2 linked regions of the Oryctolagus cuniculus genome follow. The protein of the gene in region 1 interacts with the protein of each later gene in a biochemical or structural test. Links are inferred from orthologs where the notes say so. Each region holds a gene or a part of one and is shown on either strand. Other genes may lie near its edges.

Region 1 (8,638 bases):
GAAACGTGAATGGAATGGCCTTGACGGGAGGCAGGGAGCGCAGCCCACTTCCAGAAGAGCGAGGCTGGGAGGGGAGGGCTCAGGCCTGTTACTTCTCTTACCCTGTCCCCCACTGCGGCCTCTTCTCTTAGAGCGCACAGGGCTCTTAGAATCTCAGCTCAGAGCGTTTGCACTTGCTCCCCAGGCACTTGGACAGCCCTCCCGCTCAACTCCTCGTGGCCAGCTCCAGTCACGCAGGTCACCTCCTGAGAAAGGCCCAGCCCCTTCCTTCATCTCCAGCACACACAGCCTTCCATCTCTTCATAGCATTCGAAACTGAACACTTCTGGCTGATGCATTCTCTTCCCCAGCTAGCATGTAAGCCAAGAGAGCAGGGCACTCTGCTTGCCTTGTGACGTGCACCCCTGGTGTCTGGAAATGCTTGGGACACAGCCGGGGCTTCATAAACATTGGCTGAGGAGCTGGTACTGTGGCCTAGTGGGCTAAGCCTCTGCCTGCAGTGCTGGCATCCCAAATGGGCACTGGTTCTAGTCCTGGCTGCTCCTCTTCCAATCTAGCTCTCTGCTATGGCCTGGAAAGGATTAGATGGCCCAAGTCCTTGGGCCCCTGCACCTGCATGGGAGACCAGGAAGAAGCTCCTGGCTTCAAATCAGCCCAGCTCCAACCATTGTGGCCATTTGGGTAGTGAACCATTTATGAAGATCTCTCTGTAACCCAACTTCTCAAGTAAGTAAATCTTTAAAATATAAAACTCCAAGAATAAAAAATAAACATTGGCTGAATCTGAGTTGGGTTCCAAATATGTACCAGGCACTGGTTGTGCAAAAAAAGCATCCTCCTGGGCACTTTCATGCTACCGAGAGCAGGTGAGGCATGTGAACCCGGAGCTGTGCCTTAAACCAGGTGCAAACTCGGTTCTTACGCATTTTTTTTTAAAACATTTATTTATTTATTTGAAAGTCAGAGTTACACGGAGAGAGGAAAGGCAGAGGGAGGGAAAGAGGGAGGGAGGAGTCTTCCATCTGATGGTTCATTACCCAACTGGCCGCAACGGTCAGCACTGCACGGATCTGAAGCCAGGAGCCGTGAGCGTCTTCCCAGTATCCCACGTGGATGCAGGGGCCCAAGGGCTTGGGCCATCTTCTACTGCTTTCCCAGGCCATAGCAGAGAGCTGGATGGAAGTGGAGCAGCCCTTGAACCACACCCATATGGGATGCCAGTGCTTCAGGCTAGTGTGTTAACTCGCTGTGCCCCCCCCCCCTTTTTTTAAGATTTAATTTACTTACTTGAAAGAGTTACAGAGTGAGACAGCTTCCATCTACTGGTTCACTCCCTCAAATGGTCCCAACATTGGAGCTGGGCTGGGCCAGGAGCCAGGAGCTTCATTCAGGTCTTCCTTGTGGGTACAGGGGCCCAAGGTCTTAGTCTCTTCCAATGTGATGCTCTTCCCAGGCCATTAGTATGGACTTCGATCAGATGTGGAGCAGCTTGAACCGAAGCCCACATGGGACGCCGGCACTGCAGGCAGCAGATCTACCCACCATGCCACGCAGGCCCTCATAAGCCATTTATTCAGCCAGACTTCGCCCCTTCCTGTGTGTGTGGCGTGGAGCCCACGCCCTGCGCCTGCTGCCTCACTCCCAGGCCAGTGGCCATGCTCCACCACTCTGCGGAGCCCAGGACCCCACTGCCCTGGGGTCACGGCCGCCACGAAACCACTACACATGCGCTAAGAAAACTCGGAAATTACCCAGAACTATGACGGGAAATTCACACCTAACTGTCACACGCTTACTATACCAGGAATACTCCTTCTGCCTTTTCAACACATGGTTTGCAAGGTAACCTTAAGCAGTTTGCTAACCTTTTCCCCTCATTGAAGTTAGCATCTACTGTCACTGGGAACTGTCCCCTAAATATCAGCAGCTATTTTATCTGCTATCTGGATAATTTGCTGACCCAGTTCTGAGTTTTCTTTTTTTCCTATTCTGATGTGGCCATGGACACCTATCTCCAAAATATTCATACTGATAAACACATAAATATTTGCTTGCAGTTTAAATGTTTTCCTTGGAATAGATTTCCATGTTGCGAAGGCTCTTTATATAATTCCTGACAAGACAGGCAAAGCCCAGTGAAACCTTTAGAAGCCTGAACACTGGAAACAAACTATCAAAACCAACGCACATAATCATAACAGAAAACAACCCAATGATGAGACAGCTCTGTGGAGTCTCCTTTGCAGGGGGAACTCAAGTGTAAAACTTCACCATCCGCAAACATCTGTGTCTCCTGCCAAGCCCGAGGCTCCAGGAGCACAGTGTCCTTGTCCGTCTTACCCGTCGTACCCGCACACGTTAGGTGCTCAGTAATTGCTGGGTAGATGGATGGGTGATCAACATGCCAATGAGAACTGGAAAGATGAAGACCAACCCACTTCCCACCACCAACTTCAGCAGAATTCATATCCACATTAGTTCCATTTATTCTTCATACAAATATTTTACAGTTTTATTTTTAAATCATTTACACATATTCATACAAAGAAAAATAAATTTCAGATGGAACCTGGGGCCCATGGTAGTTTAAAAAAAATCTCTCTGATCATTAGCTACTGAAGACAAGGCGGCAGGAGGCTTCGCAGTCACTGCCAGTGGTCATGCGTCTCCCCACGCAGGGCCGGGTGACAAGAATCCAGGCTACCTCGGCTTCCCTCCATCTTCACCTTGTGGAGGTAACATGAGGGGAGGGGGCTTGTCAACCCTCTCCCCCTGGAAATATTTCAAGAAGTATAGCAAAGGCTTATGGTAATACTGAACCCCCTCTCTGCTAGGAATTTGGCAAGATTACAATTTCTGAACCAACTTTCTAGAAGAGTTGGCCTGATTCCTACTCACAGTTCTTCCTAAGAGGGACTGCTGCATTCACCACGCTCCTCATCCCACTCGCTCCGTCCTCCCACCAAAGGCTCCAGGACGGAGTCCCTGATCTGATCCCATCAGTCCCCTATAGGCTCGTCCCCAAAATGAGCCTTCCTCCTATCCCACACCCAAACGCTCTCTGTAGCAACTGACCCAGCAGCTCCAGAGGAGCCCACGGGAACTCCCCCAGCATTACTGCAGCAGCATCCTATCAGGCGATCTAACTCACAGCCATGAGGTCCAAGAATGACAGAACTCTGTGTGCCCCTAACACAACTCCACTCTCCTCAGCCAGCTGCTAACATCCCATCCCGGAGTCGACGTCAGAGATGCACGATGAAGAACTGCCCACACACAATTGCCCAGGAAGGCTGGACTGTTACCAACTTCCAACAAAGCGGGGGAAAGGACAGACATGACAAATGTGGTGGACCCCACAGACACGGTGGCTGGTGACAGCCATCGGGTCCTACCCAAAAAGCAGCACCAGGAGAGGGCACGGTGAGCAGAGAGAGACCTGGGGCTGAACGTGCAGTCCCTGAATCACCAAAGGACTCAGAGACAACACAGTTCCTTTTCCCACGATTACGCAGGAACGACACGTGGACTCTGCACCCCTGCTCTGAGGCAGCTCCTGAGAGGCTGTCCCGCCAGCGATCATCAGCCCACCCCCTCGGTAGGCCCATTTGGGGGGAGGGAGTCACATCCCGAGCGGGGACCCCTCCAGCAGACACTCACAGGGCAGCCCATCCCACTGTCACTGGGGCAGGCCAAACATAGCTAGGAGGGCAGGCAGGTCCCGGGCATCAGCCGCCCCGTAGGCGTCACTCTGGCCCAACATGGACAACGCCAAACGCAGGGTGCTCCAGATGTTCTCGGACATGGCACCCCCTTCACCTCGAGGGCCTCGGCTTTTCCTCTGCATGTTCAGGGCCTCCAGAAAGTGTTCCACTGCCTCCCTGTGGGGAAAGGAGGAATGACCGCTTGTGAGCACAATGGAAGCAGGCAGGTCAGGTAGTCTTGGGAGACAGAAGGCTGCGAGGCTAGTTAGGATCAGAGGACGAGGGGCTAGGGCCAAGGCAGGAGAAACAGTGCGTTCATCCATTACTCCAGAGGTACTCTCACCGGTGAGCCCCAAGATTGATGCAGCTGATGCCCAGGTTATAGCGGGACCGGATATAGCCCGGCTGCAGTTCCAGGGCACGGCGGTACGCAGCCACGGCTTCTTCACTCTGGTTCCCATTGGCCAGGGTGGCCCCTAGCTTATTCCACAGCAAGTAGTCCTGGGAAAGGAGGGAGAAGGGGTTGGGAACATACAACTAGTGTGAGATCAAATTCTGCCCATTCCTCCACCTGCTCTGTTTAGCTAGCACATGTGACTATCCCATCGTGCTTCCTCACTGTGGCCACAGTGTAACCTCGTAACCTCTCCCTCCCCAGGCAGACTCCCTATGCCCAGATGACTCTGCACCCCCACCCTTCCTTCCGAACCCTCCCAAGGCAGGCAGTGCATGCAATGCTGGCCCATAATTATCTTGTGACTCCAAAATGCACAACAAATGGTCCTCCAGTAAGATACAGGGTCACATCCCATCCCCACCCCTGGCCTGAGGCTCACATCAGGACGCACGCTGAGGGCGGCTGTGAAGCAGTCCACGGCCTTGTCATACTCCCCACTCAGGTTGAAGAGGACTCCCAGGCCACACTGCACGTCAGGGTCGATGGACGTCGGGTCCAGGCGCACAGCTGCCAGGAAGAGCTCTTTCACTTCAAGAAATAGGGAGCTAGATGAGGAAGCACACACACCCCAAAACAATGTCAGTCCCCAAACAGCTCCTAAAAATTAGTCAATCACAGCCCCAGAATTCATCAACGTATCAGCCCTCCCTGCTACTCACAAACCCCAACTTAGAAGCCCATCTTCCTGTTTCATCCCAGCAGTGCACTGGGTACACGCAGACCTGGGCCTCCCTTCCCCCTCCTAGACCCTTGAGTCCCAGTCTGTCCAAACTTCCAAAATCAAGGCCACCTTCCTCCTGAGGCCCAGTTTCCAGTAATTAACCGTGCCAGGAAGCCCTCACACTCACTCAGACAACAGAGATCCCAGGAGGCGCTTGCTGGGACCCAGTCCTGCCCCGCCAGCCCCTTCTTCACCAGGCGCTACCAGATGTGCATAGGCTGGGGTGTAGCGCAGCCAGTCCCGCAGGGTCTCACAGGCCTGGCGCTGGAGGGACTCGTTGGTGAAGCTCACGGCTAGCGCCATCAGTGCTGTCCGGTTGTCTGGCTTTAGCTCCAGGCACCTGTTGGGCAGAGATGAGCACACTTGGTACCTGCAATGACACCGGCACCCAGCAGCAGTCTGGGATCCAAGCCAGATTTCGAAATGCAGTCACGACGGCTTCACCTGCCCAGGCTCCTCAGATTAAGACACAGAAACCTTCCGCCGTGAGAGCTAGTCACTTACAGGTCTAAGAAACGCAGCGCTCTAGCAGCGAGGGAACCCCAGAAGCCGCACTCTGGGCCTCAGTGCTGAGGAAACACTCTCGCCATCAGCCAGGGACACAGGGGCCAGGCCTGCGCTCCCGGCACCTTGGAGACCACCTGCAGAGCCCAGAACCACCTCGCTCCCACCCTCTGCGCACTCACCTCCGCAGCGCGCTGATGGCGAGGAGTTCTTGCTCGTTCTCTGCCTGGGTGGTGCCCAGATACTGCCACGCCTGCAGGGAAGTTGTCAGCTCCATCACCCTTCTGGTCTGCTGTCCCTCGTCCCTCCCCATCTCCCCCTAACCCCCATCCTGCCCCATGTGCACTCTGGGGCCGCCCTGAGAAGTCCTGTCTGAACTCGGGGTGAGCCACCCACTTCCATGTGCTTAGGGTCCTGCTGCACAGCGGCCTCGAAGAGCAGCACGGCATTCGGCAGGTCCCCTTCCTGAAGCCGCCGCAGCCCTTCTTCAAAAGGCTGAGGGTGGTCGCGCAGGGGGTTCTCTTCCTCAAACTGGTACCCCTGCAGGGAAGCAAGCACATGGGAAATGGTCTGAGAGGGAGCCACCCGGACCACGGCAGCAGGCACGCAAGGACGACAACCAGGGCAGAGCTGGAAAAGGCGGAGGCTTCCACGCAGGGACCAGAACCAAAGGCTGGCAGAGTCTCTGTGCTGGTCTCACAAAGACCACCCAGGACGACAGAAAGACCACTCAGCCTCACACCCGGGCTGCCAACTCCCGCTCACAGTAACCGGCTGCCAGGCAAGCCTACAGACTGCTCCACACTGGCAGCAGGCCTGTCATTAGGAAGTCCTCAGGCGCCCACAGTGCTACCTCGTTCGCTGACTTTTTACTCTACGGCAGAACAGGTTTCTTAGTAGGACCTGTTGAAAGGAATGAGATAAACCCTCCTTAGCTGTTCTAAGCGCACTTCTCGTTATTCCTAAATAATGCGATAACATAAAAAGGAAATGAAATTTGGAGTCAGAAGCTCTGAAATTCAAATGCAACTCTACCTGGCTCCCTGGGGTCACTGTGTGCACTAAGATGCATACAAGCACTTCAAAAACCTTAACTTATTCCAATTGCATTCTTTTCTCCCGCCAATTTCATTTTTAATAATTCTGAATATTAATCTGTGACCTGAACAGAAGTCAGAACTCGCTCCCAAAACACGTCTACAAGACACTGTCCTCTCCCAGCTGAGGATCTGTCATTCAAGAGAAGAGTTATGACGCCAAGAGTTTCGTCGGCTGGCACTTCAGCAAGGGGGGTAATAAGGTAAGACGCAAATCACTAGGAAGCCCTATGTCTTGGGACAAGTAAATAAAATGTTCCTTTTGCAATGAGTAAATAAATTCCATCACAAAGCAATATACCACAAGATATAAAATATTTCTAAGTCTGGTAAGGACAAATTAGAATAAACGAGGCCTGGGGCCAGGGCTGTGGCGCAGTGGGTAAAGCCGCCATCTGCAGTGCCAGCATCCCATGTGGGCACCAATTTGAGTCCTGGCTGGTCCACTTCTGATCCAGCTCTCTGTTATGGCCTGGGAAAGCAGCAGAAGATGGCCCTAGTCCCTGGGACCCTGTACCTAAAGAAGCTCCTGGTTCCTGGCTTCGGATTGGCGCAGCTCCGGCCGTTGCAGCCATTTGAGGAGTGAACCAGCAGATGGAAGACCTCTCTCTATCTCTGCCTCTGCCTCTCTGTCACCCTGCCTTTCAAATAAATAAATAAACCTTAAAAAAAAAGAATAAACAAGGCCTTTTTCATTTTTATTGTGAAATGTAAAGAATCAGAAACACACCCCATCAGCAACACTCTAAACTCTCAGAAGTAAATTGTTTGTCACAAAGGAAAACTGGACAGCTACCCTGGGAGTATAGGAAGGGAGAGAGATACATTATAGGAGACAGATCTGAGCTAAGCATTTTATAAACAGTATACTCGTGAAAAACAGTCAGGTTCTTGAGACATCTCTGTGCAGTTTAAAAACTCGGAAGGCAGAAAACGAACCTACTCCACGGATCAGCAAACTTTTTCTATAAAAAGACCTGCTTCGCAGGTCTGCCGCAACTACTCAACTCAAGCGTCACAGCACGCGTGCACCAGACAGCACGTAACCAAATAAGCATGGCTGCGTTCCAACCAAACTTTATGGACACTGAAATGTGAATTTCATAATTTTCATGTGACACAAAATATTGCTTTTTTCAACCATTTAAAATCATTCTCAGCTAATGGCCATACAGAATGAAGTATCAAGCAGATTTACTCCAAAGGCCAAAGACTGCCAACCCTTTATGAGAATCAGTAACATCAATCCTGGGGCAGCACTGTGGCTCAGTGGGTAAAACCGCCGCCTGCGATGCTGGCATCTCATAAGGGTGCCGGTTCTTGTCCCGGCTGCTCCACTTCTGATAGAGCTCCCCACTAATGACCTGAGAAAAGCAACAGAAGATGGCCCAAGTGTTTGGGTCCCTGCCACCCACTTGGGAGACCTAGGTGAAGCTCCTGGCTCCTGCTTTTGGTCTGGCCCAGCCCTGCCACTGCATCCAGGGAGTAAACCACCAGATAGAAGATCTCTCCCTCTCTGTAACTCTTTCAAATAAATAAAGAAATCTTAATAAAAAGTAAATAAAATAAATAGATCATTCTACCTCATCTACTGCCCAGCATTAATCCATGCATTAAACCACGCTGAAAGAGACAGATTACTGTCATCTACAACATAATTTCCTAAGGAACGTAATTCCTGCCTTTCAGAGCTACTAACATGATCAAGTATGAGATCCACACTTTTTGAAAGTATTGACATATAACTAGTATTATTTAGTGTAAAGCCAATAGAAAGGATAGCATTTTTTATGGAAAATTAATGCAATTAATGTTTCTAATCCTAACTATTCTAAGGCATAACCTCAAACAGGGTTTAAGAATCTACAAACATAATTTTTAACTAAAAATTATTCTGCATGTCATAAATGTAACTGTAATACCAGTAAATAACAGGAAATGCTGTGTATACGAAATTAACATTTTGTCTACGTTTATCAACAGCATGGACATTTTTATGTAAAAGGTACAACTTGCCACAAAGTCAATGAGCTCTATGAAGCTTACCAAACTGTCAGTAAATGAAGACTGGATAAAGAAATCATGGGATATGTCACTATGGAATACTACACAGTGGTTAAAAAAATGAAAAATAAAAAAAAATGAAAATCAGACA
Region 2 (10,338 bases), on another chromosome or scaffold:
GGACTTCAGTGTATGTTTAAATCCTCACAACTTGATAACCAGGTAGTTATTACTGCCCCTGTTTTACAGAGATCCAGGAAGGTTGCATGGCAGAATTAAGATTCGAACCCAGGAAGTCTGACACTAGGAATATAATGTCCATTCTGGGTTTGGTCAAGGATTGAATTGTGGCTCTAGTCACTGAAAATAGATGCCGCAGGTTTGAGGAATGATAGGGAAGTGATGAGTTCGGGTGAAGATGTCTGAGTGGTAAAAAACTGAGGAATAATCCAAGAGGTAGAAGGAAAAGCAGGAGGCTATGATGTTGTAGGATGTTTTCAGGGTTTCATGAAAGTAGAATATAAACCAATCTGTTCACTCTTGTATCCCTGAGGCCTAGCCTCCCCCAGAAATGTATGTTAGTATATGTGGAATAAATATATTTAGGAATAAGTGGTCAACAATATCAGTTGCTATAATGAGAAGGAAGGGCTGAAAAGTGACCACAGTATTCAACAACACTGTGTTAGAAATTATTGCTGTGATCACTAGAGCTGGGAAAACATAAGCCATGCTGTAGAAGTTTGATGATGAATTGGAGATGAGGAATAAAGAGTTATGGATAATGCCTAAGAAAGCATGAATGAAGAGGGAAGATATATAGGAAGGTATCTGAGAGGGTAGCGTGGCAATGGCAGCCCATATCAGAGTGCTAGTTTGAGTCCTAGCTGCCCAACTTCAGATCCTGCTTCCTGCTAATGCACCTACAAAGGAAGCTTAAGATGACCCAAGTGCTTGGGCCCTCGCCACTCACGTGAAAGACCCAGACGGTGTTCCTGGCTGTTGGCTCCAGCCCAGCCTGGCCCAGTCCTGGCTGTTGTTTTAGCCATCTGGGAAGTGAACCAGTGGATGGGAGATTCTCTCTCTCCCTCTCACTCTGTTGCTCTGCCTTTCAAATAAATATATATTTTTAAAATGGGTGGCATTTGAGGGAGAGAATGGCAATGATATTTTGTAGTTCTACAGTCATACATTTTCACACTAACCCTTTAGCAATACCATGGGTTTAACTATTTTAAGACTGATTTTATTTTCTTTGAAAGGCAGAGTTGGAGAGAGGAACAGATGGAGAAAGAGAGAGAGAGAGAGAGAGAGAGAGAGAGAATTCCAGCCCAGCCACTGATTCAACTTCCCAAAAGGCTGCAATGGTCCAGGCTGGGCCAGACCAAAGCCAGGATCCAAGAACTTCTTCCTGGTCTCCCATATGGGTGCAGGGGCCTAAGCACTTGGTCCATCTTCTGCTGCTTTCCCACACACAATTAGCAGCTTCTGGATCAGAAGTGGAGCAGCTAAGAATTGAACTGGTACCCATATGGGATGCCAGGAGGCAGCATTACTCCTCTGCCACAACACCAGCCCTTAACTATCTTTTGTACTCATATAACTAACTGTATCCTTGATCTATCCCCAAACTTCATCACTCAATTATTAACCACACCAACTGTTAATTCTATATTTACGACCTACTAAAATTAAACAAATCATAAGTGGGTGGAGAATGTTAGAAAAAATTGGTTCCAGGTATAACTCTCAGCAGAAAGAGGTGGATTTCATAAAGATGTCACCAGAAAAAAAAAATGTTTAAAATTGAGGGGCCCAGCACTGAACATAATGGTTGGCACACAGAAGGTCCTCGATAGATACTGAATAGGTGGATGAGTGTGCACAGATAAGGTCTAAAATTAGCATCTAAGCCCTCTAAAACTACCTGAATCTACTTCTCAGCACACCTCTACTAGTCCTATTGCTTTATGTTTTAAGAAAACAAATTTCCTCTCTATACTCACTCTCTGCTACTCCCTTACCCTGGGAAGGCCTTCACCACTGCTGTGAATTACCCGAGATGTACTCATCCTGTGAGGCCTAACGTAGCCACTGAACTTTTTAAGTGAACATGTTATGACATGGAGTCCAGGAGATACTGGGTCACGTCATTGTATTTACCTGCCAGGGAGAAGCTGAGGTCAGAAACACTGTTCTTCCCATTGCTTGGTTACATAGGACAATATATTTGCCTTCTGTTCAACAGATTTAGAACTGCCTTATTTTTCCCAGTTGGTAGATATTTCTTCTCCAAACTCATGCCAAATTAATATATCTCACGGCTCTTGCTGCCTTTTAACCTGAGGGCAGTCACTTTTTGAGCATCTTATCTCCTTTACACTACAGAGAATAGGATCCTTCATGAGGTTTGTTGACTAATACTGGACATATTCCTTTAAATGCCTCTTCTCATGTAATAACGTGTTTACTTTTGGGGTAGCCTCCACTATGAATAAACATGCCTTGCCCTCCTCTGGGTGAGTGTGGCTGTAGAAAGAAAACGTGAATCTAGATACTGGTTCACTGGAATTTGAGTGATGAGCACAATGACAAACAAAAATTGGCTGAACAGCATTCGTGAGAACATGAGAGACAGGTCTCATCCTCCACGGTTGAATGACACAGCTCTGGTAATTCCTGCTAAAGAAAAAGGACGCTACAGATCCTCTTCTGTCAGGGATGGCCTTTCTTATTTCCTGAGCTACTTCATAAACTCCTAAAAAAAACTTTGTATTTAAATTAGCCTTTTTGTTACTATATGTAGCTAATTTCCTTTTTTTTTTTTTTTTTTTTGACAGGCAGAGTAGACAGTGAGAGAGAGAGAGGAGGAAGGTCTTCCTCTTCCGTTGGTTCACCCCCAAGGCCGCCACACCACGCTGATCCGAAGCCAGGAGCCAGGTGCTTCTCCTAGTCTCCCATGGGGTACAGGGCCCAAGTACTTGGGCCATCCTCCACTGCACTCCCTGGCCACAGCAGAGAGCTGAACCTTAAGAGGAGCAACGGGGACAGAACCGGCGCCCCGACCGGGACTAGAACCCAGTGTGCCGGCGCCACAGGCAGAGGATTAGCCTATTGAGCCGTGGCACCGGCCTAATTCCCCACTTTTTAATTGATGCTATTCCTCTTTTGTATTTTTCCTGTTTGGTAAGTCTGTATATAATATAAATCATGATCCCATGTGTGTCTTTGACAGGTATTTTGGTAGAGTAAAAAGATACATGTTAAAACTACCATTAAGAGCAATGTGCATGAATTATTTCTCGCCTATTGAAACAAACTAAACGCAAACTCTGTATTTCAGAGTTCTCATGCAAACCAGTTTATCTTTATGCCGTGAGGTCCTTAGCGCAGTGAATAATACCTTTTATTTCTAGCTATTTAGCCCAGGGGTGGGGAAGAGGCTACACCTGAGGGGGGTGGGGCGGAGGAAAAAAAAAACATTAAAAAAATTAACGAAACTCCAGTACATCTGGAGAAAAAAAAAAACTCCAACACACCTGTACCAGCGACTCAAACGATGCAAACTTGAATGGGCTTTGTAGTTTGCAGTCGTGAGGCAGACCCGAGCTGGGTATACAGACGGAAACCCAGGCAGGTCTGTCAGCCCCGTTCGCGTCCGCGGCCAGGGTACGCTTGAATCTAACGGACACCTGGAAGCCAGTTAAGCTGCCAGCCCGCGTACAAAGCCACCGTGCCGGGCTCTGACGAACAGGCCCTTCGTCGTCCTGGTAATTTTTCTTTATAATCGCTACCGACCACGTAAGATTCCTTCTCCCGCTCTGTGGCCCCACGCCCTTAACCACCTCCGCCCAGGCGAGAGCGGAAAGCGCCGGCGCTTCTCCTGCCCCTCTCCCTGCGCCAACACCCAGCTCAGCAGCAGGTTCCGGCTCCGGGCGTGGCGCCAACCGCCTCGTCAGAAAGGCTCCAGAGAGTTCAGAGCGACGGTTTTCCACCGAAGCTACGCTGCCGACCCTGCAAGGAAGTGCAACACAGTCGACAAGTCGGCGCCCAGAAGAGTCAGCGGGCGCCTCCTTTAAAGCCAGCGAGGCGGCGGCGGAAGTGCGGCGGGGTCATAGAGTCCCCAACTTCCGGTGTCAGGGCCTCTTGCGGGCCTAGAGCGCCTCTCTTCCGCTGGGTCCCGGAGGTTTCCATTTCCGGGTGCGGCTCTGTCATAAAGCGGAGACCTCTCCTCAAGCGTGGTGTCGGGGGCTCCTCCGTGCCCGCGGTCAGCGCGCAAGGACGGCCGTGGGCGACGGTGCTTCCCAGCCCGCAGCTGGAGCCGGCCGTCGCGTCCCCGGCCCGCGTTGGCTCTCCTGATCCTTCCCAGCCAGCGAGATTTTGAGCCACCGCGATTGAGGGTCCCGGGTTCGCAGCTCCAGGACCCCGCTCGTGGACAGCGCTCCTTCGCCCGTAGCTGTCCCTCCAAATCATGTTCTGCCTTGTGGGGTGCAGCATTTGACAAGTCACCTTCTCCCCACATACCCCTTTCCACAAACCAGGTCCGAGTTAACGTCTTTCCTGACCTCAGTTTCAGACCCCTCTCCTCTGCCCCCTCTCTTCACCTCTGGGTCTATTTTCTCCAGTTCAATTTTGCCTGTAAAACTGGAGTTTGGAGTAATTACGCAGAAAGATTACCTTTAAGACTGAGCATTTGATACAAAAAGAAAAAATTTTCATGCTAACGAGAGAGTTGGTGGGGAAACCATGGCTGAGCACGGGGCGCACATCACAACTGCTTCTGTGGCCGATGACCAACCTTCCATCTTTGAGGTGGTAGCACAGGACAGTTTAATGACAGCAGTGAGACCTGCGCTTCAGCACGTGGTCAAGGTAAGGTATTCTCGGAAGGTTCTTAGGACCAGTGGGTAGAAACCAACCCAGTGAGTTGTGTTTATTTGGTAGCCTCGGGTTTGAAATAACCAATTTGCATAGAATTCATATCCTATGTCTTAGACGTTACTGAGTCACTGTTCTAGGTGAAGCTCTGTACTGAATACCTGAATACTTAGCACTTCAGGGAGGTTAGGGTGGGACCCAAATGACTTGTTTAAGCTGAAAGTGTGTAGAATTCAGAGGGGAAAAGATAATTTTAAATAAAAAGCTCAGTAGTGTGGGATGGAATTAATTTCACCTGTCCATTTACTTTGACTCAGGTTCTTGCAGAATCAAACCCTGCCTACTATGGCTTCTTGTGGCGATGGTTTGATGAGATCTTTACTCTGCTGGATCTTCTGCTTCAGCAGCACTATCTATCTAAAACCAGTGCCTCCTTTTCTGAAAACTTTTATGGCTTAAAGAGGATTGTCATGCGAGACACACACGCAGTTCAGCGGCTGGCCAGTGCTGGTCTCCCCAGGCAGCAGCTGTGGAAATCGGTCATGTTCCTGGTTCTTCTTCCATACCTGAAAGTGAAGCTGGAGAAGCTGGTTTCTAGCCTGCGAGAAGAGGATGAATATTCCATCCATCCCCCTTCTTCTCACTGGAAACGGTTTTACAGAGCCTTCCTGGCAGCCTATCCATTCGTTAACATGGCATGGGAGGGCTGGTTTCTCGTACAGCAGCTTCGCTACATCCTAGGGAAAGCTCAGCATCACTCGCCGCTGCTGCAGCTGGCTGGCGTTCGGCTAGGTCGACTGACGGTTCAGGATATTCAAGCTCTGGAGCACAAACTGGCTGAAGCCAGCAAGATCCAGCAACCGGCAAAGAGGTAAGGCCTTAACATTTCAAGAAAAGCTTTGATTAATAAATTCTAAGATTCCCAGTTTCAGGAAATTTACCACCCTGTCTCCTTTGAGTTATTTGAGAGAATCATAGAAAAGTTATTTGTCCTTAAAACAAGGACCAACATCCTGGTCACCTTTATCATACAAGGTCCATTTCTGTTAGCTCAATCCTCATCACAAACCAATGAGGTTGAGGAAACTAATCCATAACAGCTGACTACCTTGCCAATGCCACATAGCTGGAAGGTTGCAGAGCTGAGATTCAGGTGAGGGCAGTACAGGTTTTGTGTTTTTTTTTTGTTTTTTGTTTGTTTTTTGTTTTTTGTTTTTTCTTGACAGGCAGAGTGGACAGTGAGAGAGACAGAGAGAAAGGTCTTCCTTTGCCGTTGGTTCACCCTCCAGTGGCCGCCTATCCGCACCGCGCCTATCCGAAGGCAGGAGCCAGGTACTTCTCCTGGTCTCCCATGGGGTGCAGGGCCCAAGCACTTGGGCCATCCTCCACTGCACTCCCTGGCCACAGCAGAGAGCTGGCCTGGAAGAGGGGAAACCGGGACAGAATCCGGCGCCCCGACCGGGACTAGAACCCAGTGTGCCAGCGCCGCAAGGCGGAGGATTAGCCTAGTGAGCCGCGGCGCTGGCCGGCAGTACAGTTCTAACAGCTGTGTTCTTTGATGCTGTGTCACTTCTAGCTACTGTGTATTCTACATGTTTAAAGGTACACATTGCTCAGTGCTGCTGAGCTCATGTGTTAGTTGTTTCTTTTTCTGGTTGCATTATCTTCCATAGAAAAATTCTCCACTTAATTTCTTCCTCAAAACAAAACCCTGACCCTTTGTCATTAAAAACAAAGCTTAAATTCTGTACCCCTCAAACATTAAGATCAGAAAGGGATTGCTTAGGATGGATCCTTAAGGAAGTGCCAATCTCACACCTATTCAAATGCCAAACCTGTGATCACTGCATTTGTTGGTCACTCAGTGATTATGCCTAAAGTCTCTTTGCCTCTGTTCTTCTCCCAACAGCATCAGTGAGCAGATTAAGTCCACTCTAAAGAAAGCTGTGGGGGGCGTGGCCATATCCCTCTCCACTGGCCTTTCTGTGGGCGTATTTTTCCTGCAGTTCCTGGACTGGTGGTACTCATCGGAAAATCAAGAAACCATCAAATCACTGACTGCCCTGCCTACTCCACCACCCCCTGTACACCTAGACTACAACTCTGATTCCCCTCTGTTACCTAAATTGAAGACAGTGTGCCCACTGTGTCGTAAAACCCGAGTGAATGATACCGTTCTTGCCACATCTGGCTATGTGTTTTGTTACCGCTGTGTGTTTAACTATGTGAGGAGTCACCAAGCCTGTCCCATCACAGGCTATCCTACCGAAGTACAACATCTGATCAAACTGTACTCCCCTGAGAACTGAAGGGACTGAGCACCTTCCTTCCTAGGGGCTGCACTGCAAGGCCCCAGGGCTGGTTTTCAGAATGGCACATAGCACATTCTTCTCAGCCTCAACTGATAACTATGAACTTCAAACAACTGTAAGAATCTCTTTTTAAAAGGACAGACCCATTTGATCCTAACTGTTTAGTCTACTCTCTAGACCCCTACTTACAAATGACCAAGCTGGTTTAAGTAGGAGACTTGAGATTGGCAGGGGATATAAGGATAACTAGGGGAAGGTTTTTCTATCCTTTTCTAAATTAAGAGCAATAGAAGTTCTCAGGAAAAAACTCAGGTTAGACTTCATGAAGTGGGTGGTAAAAGAAAGCATTTATCTGCCTCCTGAAGTGGTGGTTTTACCAAACAATGTGAAATGTGCACCTGCTCTTCACAGAAACACTCAGAGCACTACAGAACAATGCTCCTGCTGTACACTGTGACCCAGTGACGTTTGGGACAGTTTATCAGATTTTTAAGATTCTTTTCTGAGCCATACATGTCTTTTATTGGGAAACCGGTTAAAACAGAGATTGTTTACATAAACATAGTCTGAAGATGTCAGTGTGAAAGCAAAGCTAATAAAAACATATGAAGTAAAATACTTAACTGTGTAAAGAAAGGATCTTTTAATAAGCTTTTTCTGCTTGCTATTAAGAGTTTGCTAAACTGGCATGAATTATTCTGGCTATTACTAAAACATTTAAATCAATTTTAAGAATGTTTCTAACAAAGAACTGTTCCATGTTAGCAGGATAATGTGTAAACTTAAAAGATTACTTGAGGTATTTACAATAAATTTTCATTCATACTACTGTGGCTTTTTGAGGTATTTGTGTATTGATTCAAATTTTTGCTTTTCGCTAATCCAGTAATTGGGACAGAAGGTAAGCACTGGATGCTGCAGTTGCCACACCACTTAGGATACCTTCATCCTCAGAGTGCCTGGTTTGAGTCCCAGCTCCTCCACTTCTGCTCCAGCTTCCTGCTGATATGCACCCAGGGTGGTAGCAGAGAACGACTCTGTTGGGTCCCTGCTACCCTCATGGGAGACCCAGATTGAGTTCTAGGCTCTGTGTTTCTCCTTGGCCCAAGGCAAGCTATTGTGGGCATTTGCTGAGTGAATCAGTAGTCAGAGGATCTCTTTGTCTTAATCTTTCATATAAGTAAAAAACTTTATTCCAATACTCAAAATTAAGCCTTATTATCAGAAACGCTTAAATTCCTTATATAAAAAATATGTCACTGCATTGGCAGGTTGCAGTAAACATGGGTTAAAAAAAAAAAAAAAAAAAAAACACGGGCCAGCACTGCAGCTCAATAAGCTAATCCTCCGCCTGAGGCGCTGGCACACTGGGTTCTAGTCCCGGTCGGGGCGCCAGATTCTGTCCTGGTTGCCCCTCTTCCAGGCCAGCTCTCTGCTGTGGCCAGGGAGTGCAGTGGAGGATGGCCCAAGTGCTTGGGCCCTGCACCGCAAGGGAGACCAGGAGAAGCACCTGGCTCCCAGCTTCGGATCAGTGCGGTGCGCCAGCCGTGGCGGCCATTGGAGGGTGAACCAGCGGTAAAAAGGAAGACCTTTCTCTCTGTCTCTCTCTCACTGTCCACTCTGCCTGTCAAAAAAAAAAAAAAAAAAAAAAAAAAAACCAATAGGACAATGAAAATAATTTGTCTTTGCCAAGACAGTTTTTTTAATTAATTTCAGCAATTCTGAAGACATTTTCTGATAGCACAAAGAATATAAAGCTAAATTTTGTAATGGGATATCCTACAGATTTTAAATATTAAAGCCTTTATCTACTGTAAGAGCATAATGGATTTTAAGCTTCTTGTACGGGTTTTTTTGTTAAAGATTTATTTGAAAGAGAGACAGGGAGTGTCCATCTATGGGTTCACTCTCCAAATGGCGCCAACAGCCAGGGTGGGGCCAAGCTGAAGCCAGGAGCCAGAAGCCAGATCCACGTCTCCCATGTGGGTGGCAGAGGACCAAGCACTCAAGCCATCTTCTTTTTCCAGGCCATTAGCAGGGAGTTGGATAGGAAGTGGAGCAGCCGGGACAGGAACCAGCGCCCACATAGGATGCTGGCATCTCAGGCAGCAGCTTAACCCACTGTGCCACAGAACAAAGGCCCAAACTTGAAAGGTTTATACCAAAACAAACACCAGAGTTAATTTAGCAATACATTTTTAATACAACAGTAAGTCAATAGAGAAACTGAACCAGATTCAGGATTGAAATGATGTAGTTCTCCACGAAGATTTTAGAGCCAGACTTCTCACCACAGCCTAAGGAAGGAAGAAAACATGAAAGTATCAGTAATTCAAAGGAGTGTCACAGAAACACTTTTACCATGTAATAAAACCAGTATCCAAATAGGTTAGAATACATCTGTGTGGAAATACCACAACCAGAATCAGCTCAGAGAGAAGATTAAGGGATCATACCCTGGTCAAAGCCAACTTTGAAACAGTGGCAATACCAGGTCAGACTATACTTCACTCATCATTGCGTTCGGTTCTTTGTTACCAAGCAACAGTCCAACTCACTATTTTCACATCTAAGAAAAATTCAGGGGCCGGCGCCGCGGCTTAGTAGGTTAATCCTCCACCTAGCGGCGGCGGCACACCGGGTTCTAGTCCCGGTCAGGGCACCGGATTCTGTCCCAGTTGCCCCTCTTCCAGGCCAGCTCTCTACTGTGGCCCGGAAGTGCAGTGGAGGATGGCCCAAGTGCTTGGGCCCTGCACCCCATGGGAGACCAGGGGAAGCACCTGGCTCCTGCCATCAGATCAGCACGGTGCGCCGGCCGCAGTGCGCCAGGGGCGGCGGCCATTGGAGGGTGAACCAACGGCAAAGGAAGACCTTTCTCTCTGTCTCTCTCTCTCTCACTGTCCACTCTGCCTGTCAAAAAAAAAAAAAAAAAAAAAAGAAAGAAAAATTCAGGCTTGCTTACAGAAAAAGGGGGAAGGGGGGGGCCTCTCCTTTTTTTTTTTTTTTTTATTTGTTTATTCGAAAGAGTTAGAGAGGCAGAGAGAGAGTCTCCCACCACTGGTTCACTCCCCAAATGGTTGCAAAAGCCAGGGCTGGGCCAATCCGAAGCCAGGAATTTCTTCCAGGTCTCCGATGTGAATGCAGGGGTCCAAGCACCTGGGCCATGTTGTACTACTTTCCCAGGCCATGGCAGAGAGCTGGACAGAAGTAGAGCAGCCCGGACTCCAACCGGCACCCATATGGGATGCTGGTGCTGCAGGCAGTGACTTTACCTGCTCCACCACAACATCAGCCCCCACAGGTTTTCAATAAATCTATTATCTTCTAT

The links. The genes of interacting proteins can lie anywhere in the genome.
Region 2: the proteins of PEX5 (region 1) and PEX12 form a complex in vitro, tested with the Homo sapiens proteins (2 studies listed by BioGRID). The link is inferred for Oryctolagus cuniculus from reciprocal best matches to the Homo sapiens genes PEX5 and PEX12.

What each region holds. Positions count from the first base shown.
Region 1 is NC_091440.1:102,352,720-102,361,357, forward strand, and holds the end of PEX5 (peroxisomal biogenesis factor 5), read right to left. Parts: intron 5,927-8,638; coding exon 5,783-5,926; intron 5,640-5,782; coding exon 5,569-5,639; intron 5,223-5,568; coding exon 5,010-5,222; intron 4,707-5,009; coding exon 4,541-4,706; intron 4,206-4,540; coding exon 4,048-4,205; intron 3,882-4,047; coding exon 3,680-3,881; 3' UTR 3,661-3,679; exon of another isoform or gene 2,727-3,660; 3' UTR 2,469-2,726; downstream 1-2,468.
Region 2 is NC_091448.1:39,036,337-39,046,674, forward strand, and holds PEX12 (peroxisome assembly protein 12), read left to right. Parts: upstream 1-3,959; 5' UTR 3,960-4,566; coding exon 4,567-4,692; intron 4,693-5,015; coding exon 5,016-5,569; intron 5,570-6,607; coding exon 6,608-7,007; 3' UTR 7,008-7,838; downstream 7,839-10,338. UniProt on the Homo sapiens protein: Component of a retrotranslocation channel required for peroxisome organization by mediating export of the PEX5 receptor from peroxisomes to the cytosol, thereby promoting PEX5 recycling.